Linked DNA regions of Pelodiscus sinensis. The protein of the gene in region 1 binds, or shares a complex with, the protein of each later gene. Links are inferred from orthologs where the notes say so. Each region holds a gene or a part of one and is shown on either strand. Other genes may lie near its edges.

Region 1 (8,010 bases):
GGTGCTTTGGGATTCGTGGTCCTAGGGGAATTCTGAATGAGTGTGGTAAATGCAGCTGTCAGAAACATCATGGGACAACTCCGGTGGGAAACAACCAGCAATCCTAATGAGATAGTTCCACCGGATGGGGATCTATATTGTGAACATGTCTGTGCTTCAAGTGGGGATCCTGACAGAGTTCACTGGGCTCCAGGCAACCTGATGTTTCCCCAGTAACTGCCTAGTCCACGTTATCCCAAGATCCCACCCTGCCCAGAGTTCCCAGCCATTCCTGTCTCCCCCTGGGACAGTCCCAGCTGCTCATGTAACCTGCACACTGGCTGGGTGTGGTGGTTGACTGTCCCAGGTAGCGGCACTGAGACCACTTCCAGAGAGAGAGAATGAGTTTGCTCTCTACAGCCCTAACTGAGAGCCAGCTGGTTTTTAACTCCGGTCAGAGAGGCTCATGCACTAAGCTCCCGAGCTCCCAGGTTTGGTTGCTCCTGTCGACATGACACTCAGTTCCGTGGAGAAACAGCACAGTTCCTTCAGGCAGTGGGCATAGCAGGGGAAGGGACTCTCCCACAATGTCACCATTGCGTGAAATGCAGAAAACTGTCCGCTGCCAGAGAGCTTCTTTTGCAAATGTCCAATCTGGGCTGGAGAATCCTGCTTGTGTCTCTTGGAGGATTGACGACACAATAACAGGGAACAGGCGGACCGTCCACATCAGAACAGGCGGACTAGACTCTTCTGTATCCCATCCACAGTGCCTGAGTTTGTACTTCCTTTGAAAGGCTTAACAATACTCTTGGCCCATCCCTTATCTGCCAGCATTCCCAATGACTTCAGAAAGAAGGCTGAAGTGGCTTGGGCAGACAGCAGGCAGGGGTCACCAACCAGTCGATTGGGATCGACTGGTAGGTCTTGGAGCCTCTGACAGGTGATCCTGACTGGTTTGGTCAAGAGGTTATCCAGCCCAGCACTTCAGCTGCTCCCCCCCGCCCCTGACTGCTGTGCATCTCCTGCCCTTTGTCTTGGAGCTGACCCCCAGAAACCTCCTGCTTGTTGAGCAGGGCAGGGGAGGGACAGGAGGGTGCTGATGTCAAGGTGCCCCCTCTCCCACCCTGTATCCTATCTCCACAGAGCGGAGAGGGGGCACAGCAGGACTGGTCATGGAGTTTGCTAGCTATTTTTGGGAGTGGTGCTGGGCCAGGACGGGGTAAGCATGCCTTAGCTCCACTGCACCACCACCCAGGAGCCACCTGAGGTCAGCAGGGCCCAGCTGGTGCCCACATCCCAAAACCCTACCCCATGCTGAACCCCAGGTCCTGCCCTAGACCCAAGCAGCCCTGCATCCAAACACCCAGAGCCTGAACCTAGAACCCCTTCCGGCACCCCAACTGCCTGCCCCTAGCTCAGCTTAGAGCCCCTCTTACATGCCAAATCCCTTAAGACACACCCCAGCCCTCTGCCCCAGCCTGGTGAAAGGGAGGGAGGATGAAGTGAGCAGGGGCGGGGCCTTGAAGAAGGGGCGCAAAGGAGGCGGGACAAGAGTATTTGGGTTTGAGGTCGACCGTGGATTGCACTTCAATTTGAAAAGTGAGCCCGTGCTGAAAAAGGTTGGAGACCCCTGCAGTAGGGTATTAAAAACCTAGTATCCCTAGACAAATCTGTGACTGGATCCCACTTGGCACAAGACAGAAAAAAGGACAAAAATGACATAAAAGAACAATGAACAATGAACAAAGAACACTGCTGCTGTGGGAACAGATTATAATGCAGCGAGAAACGTGGTCCTGGAGCGCTGGAGGTGGGAACATCGAATCACTAGGCACGAGAGCGTCTACTCTCACGCAATTTGACACAGCATAGCTCTAGCCGCTGCGTCGGTTACAGCGCGTCTGCAGGAATCCGGGCAGGTTATTCTGCTGGGTGTCCCACTTCCTCGTAGCAGGATCCTGCTTTTTACACAGCCAAGAGCGGGGAACCCTCCCCCCCAAGTCTTGTCCAGATTCATCCAACAACACTTAGCATATCTATGGGCTTTATATGTCCAAAACAACAACACAGGCATTACTAATAGAACAAGCCACAGTTTAACCCTGCTCTGTCCTAGGGCATCTTTAGGCCCCTAACGAGCTTTATTAATCTGGCCTCAGGATACTCAAATTCTCTTGTACCTCCCTGCTAATGCTGGTATGTTGCACTTAGGGCGCAGTCATTTGCTTGTGTCCCTTAGCGCGCCTGCCAGGCAGACCACCCCTTACCGATTCTGTCTGTGCCCTATTAACGCCCCCACAATCGCAGCAGCTGTCCCTTGCAATGGTCTGCAGAATTAAGGACTTTAATGCTCCCCTCCCCCCCCCCCCGCCCCTCTTGGTTTGCAGGAGAGGTGAGCATGAGCTCCGCTCTCCCTTTTGAGAGCTGGGCCATGCGTTCTTTGGGTCCAACCTGGAGCTCCTTGCTGTGTTTTCATTCCCCCCGCCTTCCCCCCCCCAACTCAGGCAGAGTTCCCTGGGCCTGATTTTTCAAGGCGTTCCTGATGTTCGAAGTTTGAGTGCTTTTCTAAATCCCGCTCGGTGCCTAGCTGCCTCTTTCCGTTTCTACACTCCTTTAAAAATCCGGCCGAGTTACTTGAATGGGGGCGTTTGTTCAAGAAGGAATGGCGCCAACACCCAACGAGGAGCGAGGCATTCTTCCTACTCTGCACAATCACGTCTGGGTTGTGCGGTAAGTCCAGCCAACTGGCAAATCTCTCACTAGGCACCCGATACGCCACCGCTTTCCAGCCCACATTGGCTCAAGGGAGTGGGTGCTCTCTGACCTACCATGCCAGATGCCAGCTGCAACCAGAAGCACCAGGATGCCAGGGTCCATCTTGGGCTGAAGGTACCCTCCTGCCCTGGTCAGGTGGGCTGCGATCCAGGGGAAAGGAACAAAGCACTTCAGCGCAATAGATCCTCTTGAGCAGGATGGAGAAGACTGGACTGGAACGTGCTGCTGAGTCGTCTATAACCGTTCCCTGCTGCCGTCTCTGGGACACTTCTCCTTTTCTTTCGGAACTGACCACAAGTTAGGAAATCCCTATTTTTTTTTTAAAGAGAGTTATACAGTGTCACTAATCGTAGAGGACACCCCACTGCTCACCTCCAAAACCTGCCCTTCATCATCGACTTGGGCGTGCCTCCTTGCACCTGTCTTCTGATTTACCATCAGAAAAGCTGCATCACGAAGTGGGGCGTTACAGAAAACATTATTGACTCTAGACACACACGGGGCTAAGCCGCCGGGACAGGCCAACACGCTGCACTAGCCCTATAGTAAGCGGCAAGGCTTGGGGCTGGGCTGTAGAGAGCTTGATTGCATTCCCATTGTGGCAGAAATTAATCCCACGTCACTTCAAAGAGATTGTCAGGGTACATCTGGCACCCACTGCAGGTTGTGCGAAGCATGGGGGCGCCCACTGGGTTACAGCAGCAGAGGAGCTGGGGAGTGCCGTCTAACCCTGAGGGCCTTCATCTGTGACTGCCCAGTGACATCAGAGAATGGAGAAATGTTCCAGCTAATTTTTTCCATCAATGTGCAGAATAAATTTTGCTATATGCACCAAAGTGCCTTTTAGCAGAGCACCCACAGCCAGCAGCGTGCGGTTCTACTGGTGGTGCACATCTGTGCAACATGGGGCAGATGTGCACCACCAATAGAAACACACTGCTGGCTGTGGGTGCTCTGCTAATCAGAGGGACGGCATTTGAATCTCTCCTGGGCGCCCGCCCGAGCTCTCATCTTACAGGGAACATGGCCAGTGGGGTCCAAATCTGGAGTGAACAAAGGCAAAAGCCTCGGGATTCACTTCTCAGAAGCCAGGTTTTTCCTGAGGGCATTATTCCATCCAGGCAGGGATCAGGCCTCCAGTGCATGGGGGGAGAGTTGCTTGTTTGTTTTATATTTGTACGTGTTCCCCATTGGCACCAGCCGCAGGACAATTCAGGGAGCCATGTGCAAAAGAATTACATGCAAGCATTAGCGAAATTGTGGCCACTTCCCACTCTGCTGAGAACATTGTAAACAAGAGCCAAAGGCTGTATGTGCGAAGGCAGCAGTTCCTTGCTGAACCTCGGAGGGAGACTGCTTTGCATGGCTGTATGCAGGCAGCAGACCAGAGACTCGGTGTAAATCACTGTCAGTCTAGTAAAGTCAATGGGACCCATGCAATTTACACCACCAGAGGACATGGCCTGATGCGTAACACACAGTACGACCTACAGCTAGTCCCTGCTGCATTTGCTGCGTTTTTCTTTAGCAGCTTGTAAATGCTAAAAGAAATCCTTGTGCCAGTGCTTCTGCAAAATGTCAGGGGGCCTCAAATGCATGCAAGGAGTGTTGCTGCTTTATTTCCTCCTCCCCGAGGAGATCGGGAAATACAGGAAACTAGGAAAGGTGCCAAACAACTAGCAGTTTTGCAAGGCCACCTTTCCAGGCGACAGGAATGGAAAGCGTGCAAAACTCCTAGTTGTTTGGTACCTTGATCCACCTACCAGGAGAGAGAATTTACCGTAAACCGTGTGGTTCTCCAGCCCCACAACTCCAGCTCTGACCGTATTTCCTGAATAGAAGTCGCCAAAGAAAGGAATTAGTTTTTCCATATAGTTGTGTATGTGCTGAGGTGACCCACTGAAAAATTGCACGGCTGCCAGCGGGTTAACGAGATGAGGAGTAAGGAATATTCATTGTGGACTGTACTGTACTCCACCGGCTGCCAGAACCTGGCAAATGGGGGTCGTACAATGTTGCAGCCAGGCGCCATTGCCACTTGCCTGCTCTGCTCAGGCCAAAGGGTGGGGTGGCTCAGGCGGAGAAGCACTAGACATGAGCTCATCCATTAGTGATTCATTGTTTCTCCATCCGTGCCTCTGCTGCCCAGGAGCTGCAATGGAGATTCCACAGGGGCTGGCAAGGTGGATGGGGCTTCGTTGGGGGCGTGAGCCCAGGACTCTACATTTCAAGGCACGTGGTGAGACATGCCTGGCAGCCGTCGTCACTGCTAGAGGAGATGAAGCACAGACCAGGGCAGTGCCAACTTCACCAATCAGGGTGCCATATTATGGAGATAGACCTATCTCAGAGCTGGAAGGGACCTTGAGAGGTCATCGAGTCCAGTCCCCTGCCCTCACGGCACGACCAAGTACCATCCCTGACAGATTTGCCCCAAATGGCCCCTCTCAAGGATTGAGCTCACAGCCCTGGGTTTAGCAGGCCAATACGCAAACCACGGAGCTATTGAACCCCGATGTTGGATGGGCCCCTGTCGTCTGGGCTCCTGACAGTGACCAGTGCAGGCAAGCAAAGGAAGGTTCAAGAAACTCTTTGGCCTGTCTGGGGAATAAGCTGCCCAAGGGAAAGATGCTTCTGAGCCTGATGTGCCTCGGCCCCGAAGGGGAGGAATCACCCTTGCGAGCGACAGGCGATGTGGCTCAGGCCTTGGCCTCTTTGCTGAGGCCAGAGCTGGTGTGATTATTTGCGGGGCCTAGTTCGAATGGGACGCCGCAGCCTGGGGTACCAGCAGCCCCACACCAGGCCCAGGGCACCGGCAATGCCCATGTGGGGTTGTGGCGGCTGCTCCCATAGCGGCACCAAGAGCTCCCAGCATGGCAGCGTGGGGGAGGGGGTACCTGAGGCACCCTCACCACAAGCACCTGCGGCAGCCGCCTCCTCTTCTCTCAGGGGCCCCACTGGGCTGGAGGGGGGCAGGGTGGAAACCGCCATGTGCAATCCACAGCTTGGAGACGCACCTCAGGTAGCACGCGCCACCCAGGCAGGCAGGGCCTATAATAAAGTGCAGGGGCCGTGTGCGAGGGAACCGGCTGCGCACGCCTCACGCAGGCCCTTGCTGAGGCAGCCAAGAACCAAGTCAATAAAGGCTCACGTTGAGGGTGGTGCCTGATGCGGGAACTTGCCCACTGGGCACATGACCGAGTCCAGCCGTGTGCGGCACTTTGGTCATCATAGAGTGGCCAGTATCTTTTCTCATGACCAAACCGGGCTTGTCAGGGCAGGCTTTGCAGGCCCCACTGAATCTGTTGCCCCCACATGTTTATGGGGGCGACTCCAAAGAGCCCTTTCTCTCTGAGGAGTGCGCCCTGGGCATTATTCATCAATTCCTACTGTTGTTCTGTATTGGCCGAGCTCTCAGCCTCTGGCCTATTTCTGGAAGCAGGCCTCTTCTTACACAGCCAAGCGCCTTCCCAGCCAAGGCCAGTTCAAAGCCAGAAAAGAAAACTGAAACTGCATTAAAGCTCATCTCTAAGTGTGTGAAAATGAACACAGCAGGAAAAGCCTTGCATGCAAATAAATACCAAGGCATGAAACCCAAAGGAAGGCTGGCTTGGCCTTGCCCATTGCTAAGTGTGTGCTAGACGGCATCAAGTGCAAGAACAATTGTGAAGTTACCGGCTCCCTTCCCTTAGGGTGGCCAGATGGCCTGTTTTTAAAGGGACAGTCCGGTATCTAAGTCCTCCTGCAAGTGTCCCTACAATGGGCAAATTGTCCCCGTATTTTCTATCTCCCCTCTGCTATCAGTGCAGGCGGGTCCTACAGCTGGCCAGATCCTTGCTCGCCTGCTGCCCACTCACCAGCAGTGAGTGGGGGGGCGGGAATCCAGTGGGCGGTGGGGGTTGGGCACAGCTGCAGCATATGGGACCAGCTGCTTCCCCTTCTGGTCCACCAGGACAGTCCCTGCTGCTGTGTTTCCTCTTGGCCAGCAGCCCCTCCCACATCCCATTGCCTTGTTTCCAGCCGGAACTAGCAACTTGCTTCAGTGGCTGGTGAGCGGGCTGACCATGGCTGGCCGGTTGCCTCACTGTCCTCTCCCTGCTGGGCCTTTCATCCCCTCAGCCCTACTGCTCCTCCATCTCCCCCCACCCTGCCCCGTGAGGTGCATCCTGGACCCGGTGCTGTGCGAAGAACCAGCCCCTGGTCCGATCATTCATCTCACCAACAGCCTAGCTGGCTGGCTCTGTCCCCCCGCTGCCTTTGGCTGGGACGGAAGCCATGGAGGGACCCTCTGGCCCAGGATGCCGGCCAGGAGGAGCCAAGTCCTCCATGTACCAAAGCCCCACCCAGCACTGGCCTGGGGAATTGTCCCCCTCCCCTGTGCACAATACAGCCTTAGGGCTTAACCCCTTCCTGCCCACGCTGTAGCCAAGGAGCAAGAGGTGGCTGCGTTGAGTCGGTGGCCAGCAGCATCCTGGAGGGGTTAGCTGCTGTTCTACAGGCAGAAAGTAGCTTTTCTACAAGCTGCTTCTAGCCACAGAGGAGTGGGAGGAGCAAGGATAGAGATAACCTCTGCAAAGCCGCGGGCCATGTCATCCCTACCCCGCTGTGGCTGGAAGTGCTTCCCTTCTGCACAGTACCAAGAGGCTGCTGCTGGCCATGTTCTGGGGTGGACCCCTCACAGATCTCTGGGGAGGATGGGCTGTGACCCTGCCGCTTGTTGCCTCGAGACGACATGGTACCAGACGAGATGGGTCCATCTGAAGGTCCCAGGAAGAGAGCACTAGGCAGGGAGGGTTGGGTCAGGTTGGTCGCCCATCTCCATGGGCCAGGTTGGTTGGCCACCCTCATCCTCACGTAAGAGAGGTGTGTGTGTCTGTGAGACCGTTCCCCATGCAAACCTTAGGCCAAGGCTACACAACAGCCAAAGGTCAGCGTAAGGTACACATTTCCAACTGTGTAAAAAACGTAACTGGAGTTGACGTACCTTAAGCCGAGTTTTTGCACCATCCTCACAGTGGGAGGTTGACAGGAGAAATGCTCCTGTTGACTTCCCTTGTCCTCACGAGGAGTAGGAGTTCCAGCATCGACGGTTGCACCCTCAGTGTTTGATTTAGTGGGTCTTTACTAGACCTGCTAAATTGAATGCCAGAAGATTGACTGATGCTATGTCAATCTTCTCCGTAGTCTAGACATGGTCTTAGAGATAAGAAGGTAAATAACTAGACTTCAGCTATGAAGAATTTCTTTTTAAGC
Region 2 (7,684 bases), on another chromosome or scaffold:
CTCACCTAGCATGGGCACCTGGCTAGCAGCAGGCCCCAGCCTCACACCCTGATGTTCCACATCCCATCCCAGCAGCAGGCTGGGTGTGACACTTACCAACTCCTGCAGCTTATCCAGGTGCTTTTGGGTGATGATATTCTCACAGTAGCCTTTCTGCTCAGTTTCATGGATGCTGCAGGTGGCGAGGAGGAGGAAAGTCAGCAGGGTGCAGGAGACTGGGCATGCCTGAGGAAGGGAGAAGCTGTCAGCCGAGAAGCCATGTCCCTGGGCTCCCCGCTGCCCCAATGGCTAGCAGCCTCCAGGGCGGGCTCCAGGAGTGATCCCCTGCCTTCCTCTGCCAACAGCCTTTGGTGTGGACCTTTGGGCCAGTCCCTGCCCCATAGCAAGGCAGAGATAGCTAGGAGAGGTGGCAGGCAAGCACAGAGTGGCACTCCCCAGGACAGATACAAGCTGCACTGGGTTGCTGAAACAGGAGCTCAGGGCACAAATCCTTTCCAGTGTGCACCCAGGCATTCCCACTGCAGTCTGGGAACACATCTCCCCCTCCCCTGCTGCCCTTTCCCTCTCCCACTGCCTGGCCTGCTATTATTAGAAAGGTAAGTGGTCAGCTGAGCAGACCCTGCTGGGAATTCCCCAGCCTGGCTCTCTGAGGGCCACACAAGCTGCTGATGGACACAAGTGTGCACAAGCTGCTTTGGGCTGCTGCCAACCGAGAGTGCACCAGGCACAGTTTTGTCCTGTCTTCACCACTCCAACACTTCTCCCTTCATTGCCTTCCTGCTCCCTCCATTGCTCCTTGCAGTCTGGGGTCTCTCCCTTCCCACTCCAACTTCTCTTCTGCTCCCTCCTCTTGTCTCCTCCATCACTCCCTTCCCACTGCCCCTTTGACTCTCACCCTGCCCTATGGTCCCCTTCCCCGCCTTGTCTCTGGGGAAGACTCTTCAGTCCCTGACACCCTTGAATTCATCCAGCACAGAGCCAGCTGCAAATGTGTCCTCCCTTTCCAAGACCCCTCCCTGGCCCTCCGTGCAGCTGCACCCCAGCCTTCAGCTTCCTTTTGCACCTCCTTTCACAAAGCCCCATCATGGAGCCATATCCCTCTGTATAAGCTGGGGCTCGGCTTTAACTCCACAAATTCCTTTTCACATAATGCAGTTACCTTGTGGCAATGAGTTCCACAGGCTCTCCATGAGGCCAGAATCCTAGCAGGATTCCAAAAGGGATTGAACATTTATGTGGAAAATGAGAACACTCAGAATCACAAAGGTAAATGCTAAAAAAATAGTCAAGTGGCTGGGAAGGAATATAAACCTGCCTGCTTCATACCCTGCTACCCTCTAGCTGGAGTCCGGGGGGGGGGGGGGGAGTTAACCCACGATTACATGGGAAACTCAGGGCAGCCCCAGGGTGGCTCCTTTGAAATGGGGTAGAAATGGATGGGGAAATTAGATGAGTGGAAAATAGATTAAATGGCTAATTACAAGGTACCAATAAATAATAAAATAATACAAGTATAATAAATAGCTGGTTTATGGAGATAGATTAGATTAGATTAGAATAGATAGATGAATCTTAGTACACAGACCCATCATCTGAACTAAGACCTAGGTAGACAGATCAGTATACTAAGATAACTATCCTCCTGGATCCTGGTATCCCAATTAATCAATCAAACTAGATCAATATCTGAAGATCTAGGAAGAAAGTTAGCTAGCTAGTGTACTGATCAATCTATCTATCTATCTTGCTAACTCTCTTACTAGATCTTATCTATATTTATCCAGCTAACTACTTACCCACCCTCCTAGACCTTAATACACTGATCTAGTCAGTTAGCTTGACCAGAATATTAAGACCTAGGAGAACAGATAGATGTTATCTATAGGGATAGATCAATAGCTAGATGGATAGATAGGGGGACTGACAAACTAACCTCATTAGCTACCGATCTACCCTCCTAGATCTTAGCATATTGGTCTATCTGGATCCTTTGATGAAGCAGTGTCCTGGGACAGCTGATTAGCTGGACTTGGTTCCCTGCTCTGCGCTCTGCTCCAACAGGCGAGGGGATCCCCTGCAAACTTCCGACGGGAAGGGGCCAACCACGGCTCGCCGGGCTCTCTCCAAACCAACCCAAAGCTCCTTGCCATGCCCCCGCCTGGAGCCGCTCTCTTGGCTCAGTCCCTGGCTACGCGGTGCAAAACAAGGCCGAGAGGAACGTCGGTCTCCACCTCTCTTGCAGTCCCTGTGCTGTCAACACTTTTGGCAAGAAAGCGCCTGCCGGCCAGACCTGACACGCAGCCAGTTGCCTCCATCCAAAGGCAGAGCCCAGCCGAGGGGAGCAAGCAAGGGGCAGAAAGAAGGAGTGTCCGGCGCAGGCAGAGAGCTGCTCACTTTGCTCCTTCGCTCTCACTCCAGCCCTAAACAACCACGCTGGGGCCAAGCCTTCCAGCCCGGGAAGCACCCAACGGGCTCAGCCCCGACACACGCCGGGAGCGGACTCCCAAGGGAGTTAGGGGTCCCCATCCCTGGCAGACCGGAGCCAGGCGCCCCACGCTCTTCGCGCATCCCAGCTGCGCTAGGGCGCTCGGCAAAGGGCAGGAGGCGCCGCGGGACAGGCGCGCAGCAGCGAAGGGTGCGGCGCGGTGGGGGGAAGCAGCAGCGCAGGCAACTAGAGAGCGCAGAAAAGCCAGACGCGTCCCCCGCCTCGGGCCATCTGTCCTGCTGCAGCCTGGAGTTCTCAGCGCGCGCCCTGCGCGGTCCTTGCGCGCCCCTACCTTGGGGCCGAGCCGGCGCATGGGGACAGCCGTCCGCGGAGCTGGCACCTCCTGGGAGCGGGGCCGGGGGGCGGCGGCGGCGGCGGCGCGGAGCTGTGCAGTCATCGCGGGCTGCCGGGAGGAAGTTTCGCTGCGGCTCCGCGCACGGAGGAGGAGGTGGCTCTGTCCTGCCTGCTCTCCTGGGCTCGCCCTTATACTGCCTCGGAGCATGTGGTTTATGGGAAATCACCTTGGCCACCCGCCAGCGCCGGCCCTTTGTTTCCGCTGGAGGAGAGGGGGAAGGCGAAAGGAGCATCTGGTGCTGCCTTCACCTTTCTCGGGCATCCCCGGCCCCCGCACCCCGCGCCCAGCCTGGGGCTGTCCCGCATGGGCTAGCAGCAGTGTCCTGCCGGTCCCAGCCTCCGCCAGCAGCGGGCAGGACTCCTTCCCCTGCTGCGTCTGAAGTGCCTGGGCCAGGCTGCTACAGCAGGGGCGGGCAATACGTTTTGAGGGGAGCACTTTTCTAGGGAGAGGGTGGGGAGTCTGGGACGGATGGTGGGTGCAGAAGAGAGCTCGGGCAGGGAACTGGGTGCAGGAGAGGGCCTGGGCTCTGAGAGGGAGTTAGGCAAAGGAGGGGGGTTCACAAGGCACAAAGCTCCCCCCTCCCCCGACACAGAGAGGCAGATGGAGCAGACAGCCGCACTGAGCCCTGGGGCTGCTCCTTGCCTTTGGCACCAGTGGGACGGGCCGCGGTCCAGATCTGACCCCGGGCCGCGTCTTGCCCACCCCTGTGCTAGAAAGTGTCCCAGCAGCGCCAGGCGCAAGGGGTGGCTGCCTAGTGATGCTGTGACCAGGCAGATCAGAAACTGCTCGCTGCTGCAGTGCCCCGATTTCTCAGAGGAAGGGGGTGGTGTGGAGAGGCACAGACACTGCTGGCCCCAATGTTCCTCCATGCCCCCTTCCCCTGCTGTGTTGGGAGACTGTCATCAGAAGCTGCTGCTCTCCTGCCAGGCAGCTCCTAGGCAGGCCCAGCAGAACAGTGGGGTAGTGGTGGGACCTATGTATGCCAGGTGGGTGCTTGTGTTAAGCCTGCTCTGCGCTGAGAAAGGTTTGCCCTTACAGCCAGACAGGTGAAGCCTTTCAGTTCACATGTAGCTTGTACCAGCAAGCAAGTGCTTTCCCAGGAAGGTTTACACTGCTTCCCCGCATGAAATAAGCTCTTCAGTAGAGCCCCAGTTACAGACTCCTCGGGAATGATGGCTGCTTGGAACTGTGAACCATATGGGTTTGCTTTCAAAAGTTTACAAGTGAGTGTTGACTCACTGCAGCTTTCGATCTTTAATGTGCAGAAACAAATGCTGCTTTTCCTTTATTTTTTAAAAGAGTTTGTGTTTAACACAGCACTGTGCTGTATTTGTTTTCTTTTGCGGGTTTGTTTTGGTTTGTTTTTCCAGTCTCTGCTGTTGCCTGATTGCTTACTTCCGCTGCCAAATGAGATGTATCGTGAACTGGTCTGTTTGCAACTCTGGTGTTCATAACTCTGAGGTTCTGTTGGACTGCAGGAAGCACATTTACACTGTTTCAGCTGTGTCTACACTACACTGATGGTCTGTATCAAATATTAAAACATCACCCCAGCAAAAGTTTGAAGTGTAGCCCTCTTCCTAGGGTGCTTTGACACACTGCAAACAATAAAAATGTGCAGCCGAGAACCACAGCACTCAGGTAACTTAATGCAGACTCAGACTACAGGGCTAAAAAACAGCAGGTTCTGAGACCACCTATGCCAGGGCTACTCAACTTTGGAAACCCCGGGAGCCAGGATGATACTCTCAGCACTTGCCGAAGGTCACAACTTAAGTGTGGTTGCATGTACATGCAAATATGTATGCAAATATATGCAAATAGCTTCTTTCACACAGATGGGCATGAATACAAAGAGCACACAACACGCAGGCCCCATTTAAGTCATTCTGCTGATATTCATAAAATGCAACATTTACACTATTTCCACCCATATGACAGCACTTTTAATGAGTAATGACAGTGCAGGAATTGAACAACTAAACACAGCTCAACAAAAGGCCATTATATTGACTTCCCAGCAGAAGCCATGTTCAAAGGATCCCACCTGCTGGCGGCGTGTTGAGTAACCCTGACCTACACCTTGCCATGTTTCAGAGAGTGGGCAGGGATCACCCTGAGCAGGAAAATCTGCACTGTTATCAGTAGCCCCATAGCCTGTGATAGTTGACTCAGGCTCTGAGACTCCTTGCTGGAGTTCGGGTTTTTTTGCCATGTAGATGTATCCTCAGGACAGATCTACACTATGCCAGAAGTTCGACTTGAGATGCACAACTCCAACAATGAGAATTGTGTAGCTGGAGTTGAAATACCTTACATTTCTGGGGCAGCCCTGTTGCAGGTTGATGGGAGAAACTCTCCCATCAACATCCCTTATTCCCCATGACTCCGAGGAGTACTGGGATCAACAGGGGCACCCCCAACATTCAATCTAGTGGGTCCTTATTAGACTTGCTAAGTAGAAGCCTGAAAGTATAGAAAAGGCCTCAGTGAGCATGTGTTCGTTTCAGTCAAAAAATAATGCACTGGCACGAGTGTGAATCGGAATGTGTCTGTGTGAGATGTGTGCATATGAGTACGTGTGTGTGTGTGTGTCTGTGACGGCATGTTGGGGATCCCCCCGATCCTGCACCCTCGTAGCAGCAAGATGAGACTGCCAGCCAGTAGAATAGTGAGCGTTTATTGCTTCTCCAGGATACTGCACAACATAGATGTGATGTGGTTACAAGAGTCAGGGCCAGGCAGCCTCAGACCCCCTGGGGTAGGGGTCCACTGCCCCTCTCAACTCCCAGTACTCAGCTTAGTCCCTTCTCTCCATGTTTTTCCAGACAAGACTGACTAGCTCCCAGGCTCTGCCCCCCAGCCAGGTGGCCGTCTCCGCCTCCCCTCCTTTGTCTCTCCCCCTGGGAAGAGCCTTGTTATCTGCTCAGGCTGGGACTAGGTGTCTGGACCAATCCTCATTTGGGTGAGTCAGTGGGAATCACACATCACAGTGTGGAGGAACCTCTGGTTACAGAGCAGACAGCCCCCCACTATGTCACATCTCTCCCCCCTCCGAGAGCGAACTGAGTATTACTCTGCTTATGACCTGGGGAAGTTCGGGCCTCCTGCCAGGTAAAGCCGCAGCAGTGATATTGGACCTTCCCTTGGCTTGGGCCGGCCACGGCAGTGCCCTGCGGGAGCCGGCTCCCCCCCATTTGGCTGCTGCACAGCTTTGAGGGGGCCGGCGCGGGCCCACTCTTTGTGGTCGGACCAGCCCTTCCACTTCTCTTGGACTCTGCCCATGGTCTCTCTGGCCGGGCCCATGTCCTCAGCGAGCCTTTCCCAGAAAGCCAGGACATCCTCCACACATCACAGCATGGGGGAACCCCGGGTTACAGAGCAGACAGCACCTCCACTATGTCACAGCGTGCGCACACACAGTGGGCATGGAAATGATCATGTCTGCAGTGTGGGGCTGGGAGTGCATGTGTCCCGATTGGCATGTGTGTAGGAAATGTGTGGAACTGTGAGCATGTATCTATGACAAAATGCATAAAGAGCACATAAACCTATGGCTATTGTTCTCAAGCAAAGGACCAGCTGAGCAGCAGAGGAACATTGTCACTTGCCAGAGCCAATCTGGTTTAACACATAGGTGGTTTTAAGAAAAATAGAAACCACCTCCCTTCATTGGTTTTTTAAAAGCTTGTTGGAAACAGCTGTTTGTAAGGAAGCAAATCTTGTCACTGACTTGTAGCACAGTCACAAATATCAGAAGTGAAATGGGCCATAAAAATGAAACTGACTTTATTAGTTAACTTTCTGAAGTGTAGATTGGCAGAGGTCCTGGAGGTTTTTCACCTTCCTCTGTAGCATGGGGCACAGATCACAGCTGGAGGAGTCTCTGTATCTTGGGGTCTTCAAAGTATTTGAAGGCTTCAATATCTGAGATATAGGTGAGAAGATTATTCCAGGAGTGGGTGGGTGGGTGGGTGAGATTCTGTGGCCTTCACTGTGTAGGGGGTCAGACTAGATGATCATACTGGTCCCTTCTGACCTTGAAGTCTATATAGGCTACGTCTACACTGGCATGATTTTCCAGAAATGCTTTTAACGGAAAAGTTTTCCGTTAAAAGCATTTTCGGAAAAGAGCATCTAGATTGGCACAGACGCTTTTCCACAAAAGCACTTTTTGCGGAAAAGCATCCGTGTCAATCTAGATGCGCTTTTGCGCAAAGAAGCCCCGATCGCCATTTTAGCCATCGGGACTTTTTTGCCCAAAACAGTCCTGTGCTGTTTACACTGGCCCTCTTGCGCAAATGATTTGCACAAGAGGGATTTTGCCCGAACAGGAGCAGCACAGTATTTCCGCAAGAACACGGACGATCTTACATGAGATTGTCAGTGTTCTTGCAGAAATTCAAGCGGCCAGTGTAGACAGCTGGCAAGTTTTTCCACAAAAGCAGATGATTTTGCGGAAAAACTTGCCAGTCTAGACACAGCCTTATGAGTCTATGAGTCTATAAGTGGTTGAAACTAACAGTACTGTCCCAGATTTCCCATAAACCATATGCTCTGCGAAAGCTGAGGCCAGAGTCAGGAGAGAGCTCTGAAACTGGATCTTGAACATGACAGCAGACTTTATAAAGATCTGAGGAGTAACTTTAACTTGGGTAAATTAACGTGTCTGTTTATAATATCCTCTGGCATACTGATATGATAGTTCATAAGAACAGCCAGACTAGGTTAGACCAAAGGTCCATCCAGACCAGTGTCTTGTCTGTCAACAGTGGCCACTGCCAGATGCACCAGAGGGAGTGAATAGAACAGGGAATCACCAAGTGATCCCTCCTGTCACCCGC

The links.
Region 2: the proteins of CSF1R (region 1) and CSF1 are in contact, whole or in part, in a crystal structure (PDB 3EJJ), measured with the Mus musculus proteins. The link is inferred for Pelodiscus sinensis from reciprocal best matches to the Homo sapiens genes CSF1R and CSF1. Residues at the interface, in NP_001032948.2 of Mus musculus: Arg142, Arg146, Leu149, Arg150, Lys151, Lys168, Val169, Leu170, Ser172, Asn173, Val231, Gly232, Phe233, Leu248, Ser250, Asp251, Phe252, Asp254, Asn255, Tyr257, Lys259; in NP_001107002.1 of Mus musculus: His38, His41, Met42, Gly44, Asn45, Gly46, His47, Phe87, Gln90, Asp91, Asp94, Arg98, Asp101, Glu110, Arg111, Gln113, Glu114, Leu115, Asn117.

The regions. Positions count from the first base shown.
Region 1 is NC_134727.1:34,930,391-34,938,400, forward strand, and holds the start of CSF1R (macrophage colony-stimulating factor 1 receptor), read right to left. Parts: upstream 3,012-8,010; 5' UTR 2,860-3,011; coding exon 2,811-2,859; intron 1-2,810. UniProt on the Homo sapiens protein: Tyrosine-protein kinase that acts as a cell-surface receptor for CSF1 and IL34 and plays an essential role in the regulation of survival, proliferation and differentiation of hematopoietic precursor cells, especially mononuclear phagocytes, such as macrophages and monocytes.
Region 2 is NW_027465886.1:221,294-228,977, forward strand, and holds the start of CSF1 (macrophage colony-stimulating factor 1), read right to left. Parts: upstream 3,083-7,684; 5' UTR 2,988-3,082; coding exon 2,778-2,987; intron 226-2,777; coding exon 97-225; intron 1-96. UniProt on the Homo sapiens protein: Cytokine that plays an essential role in the regulation of survival, proliferation and differentiation of hematopoietic precursor cells, especially mononuclear phagocytes, such as macrophages and monocytes.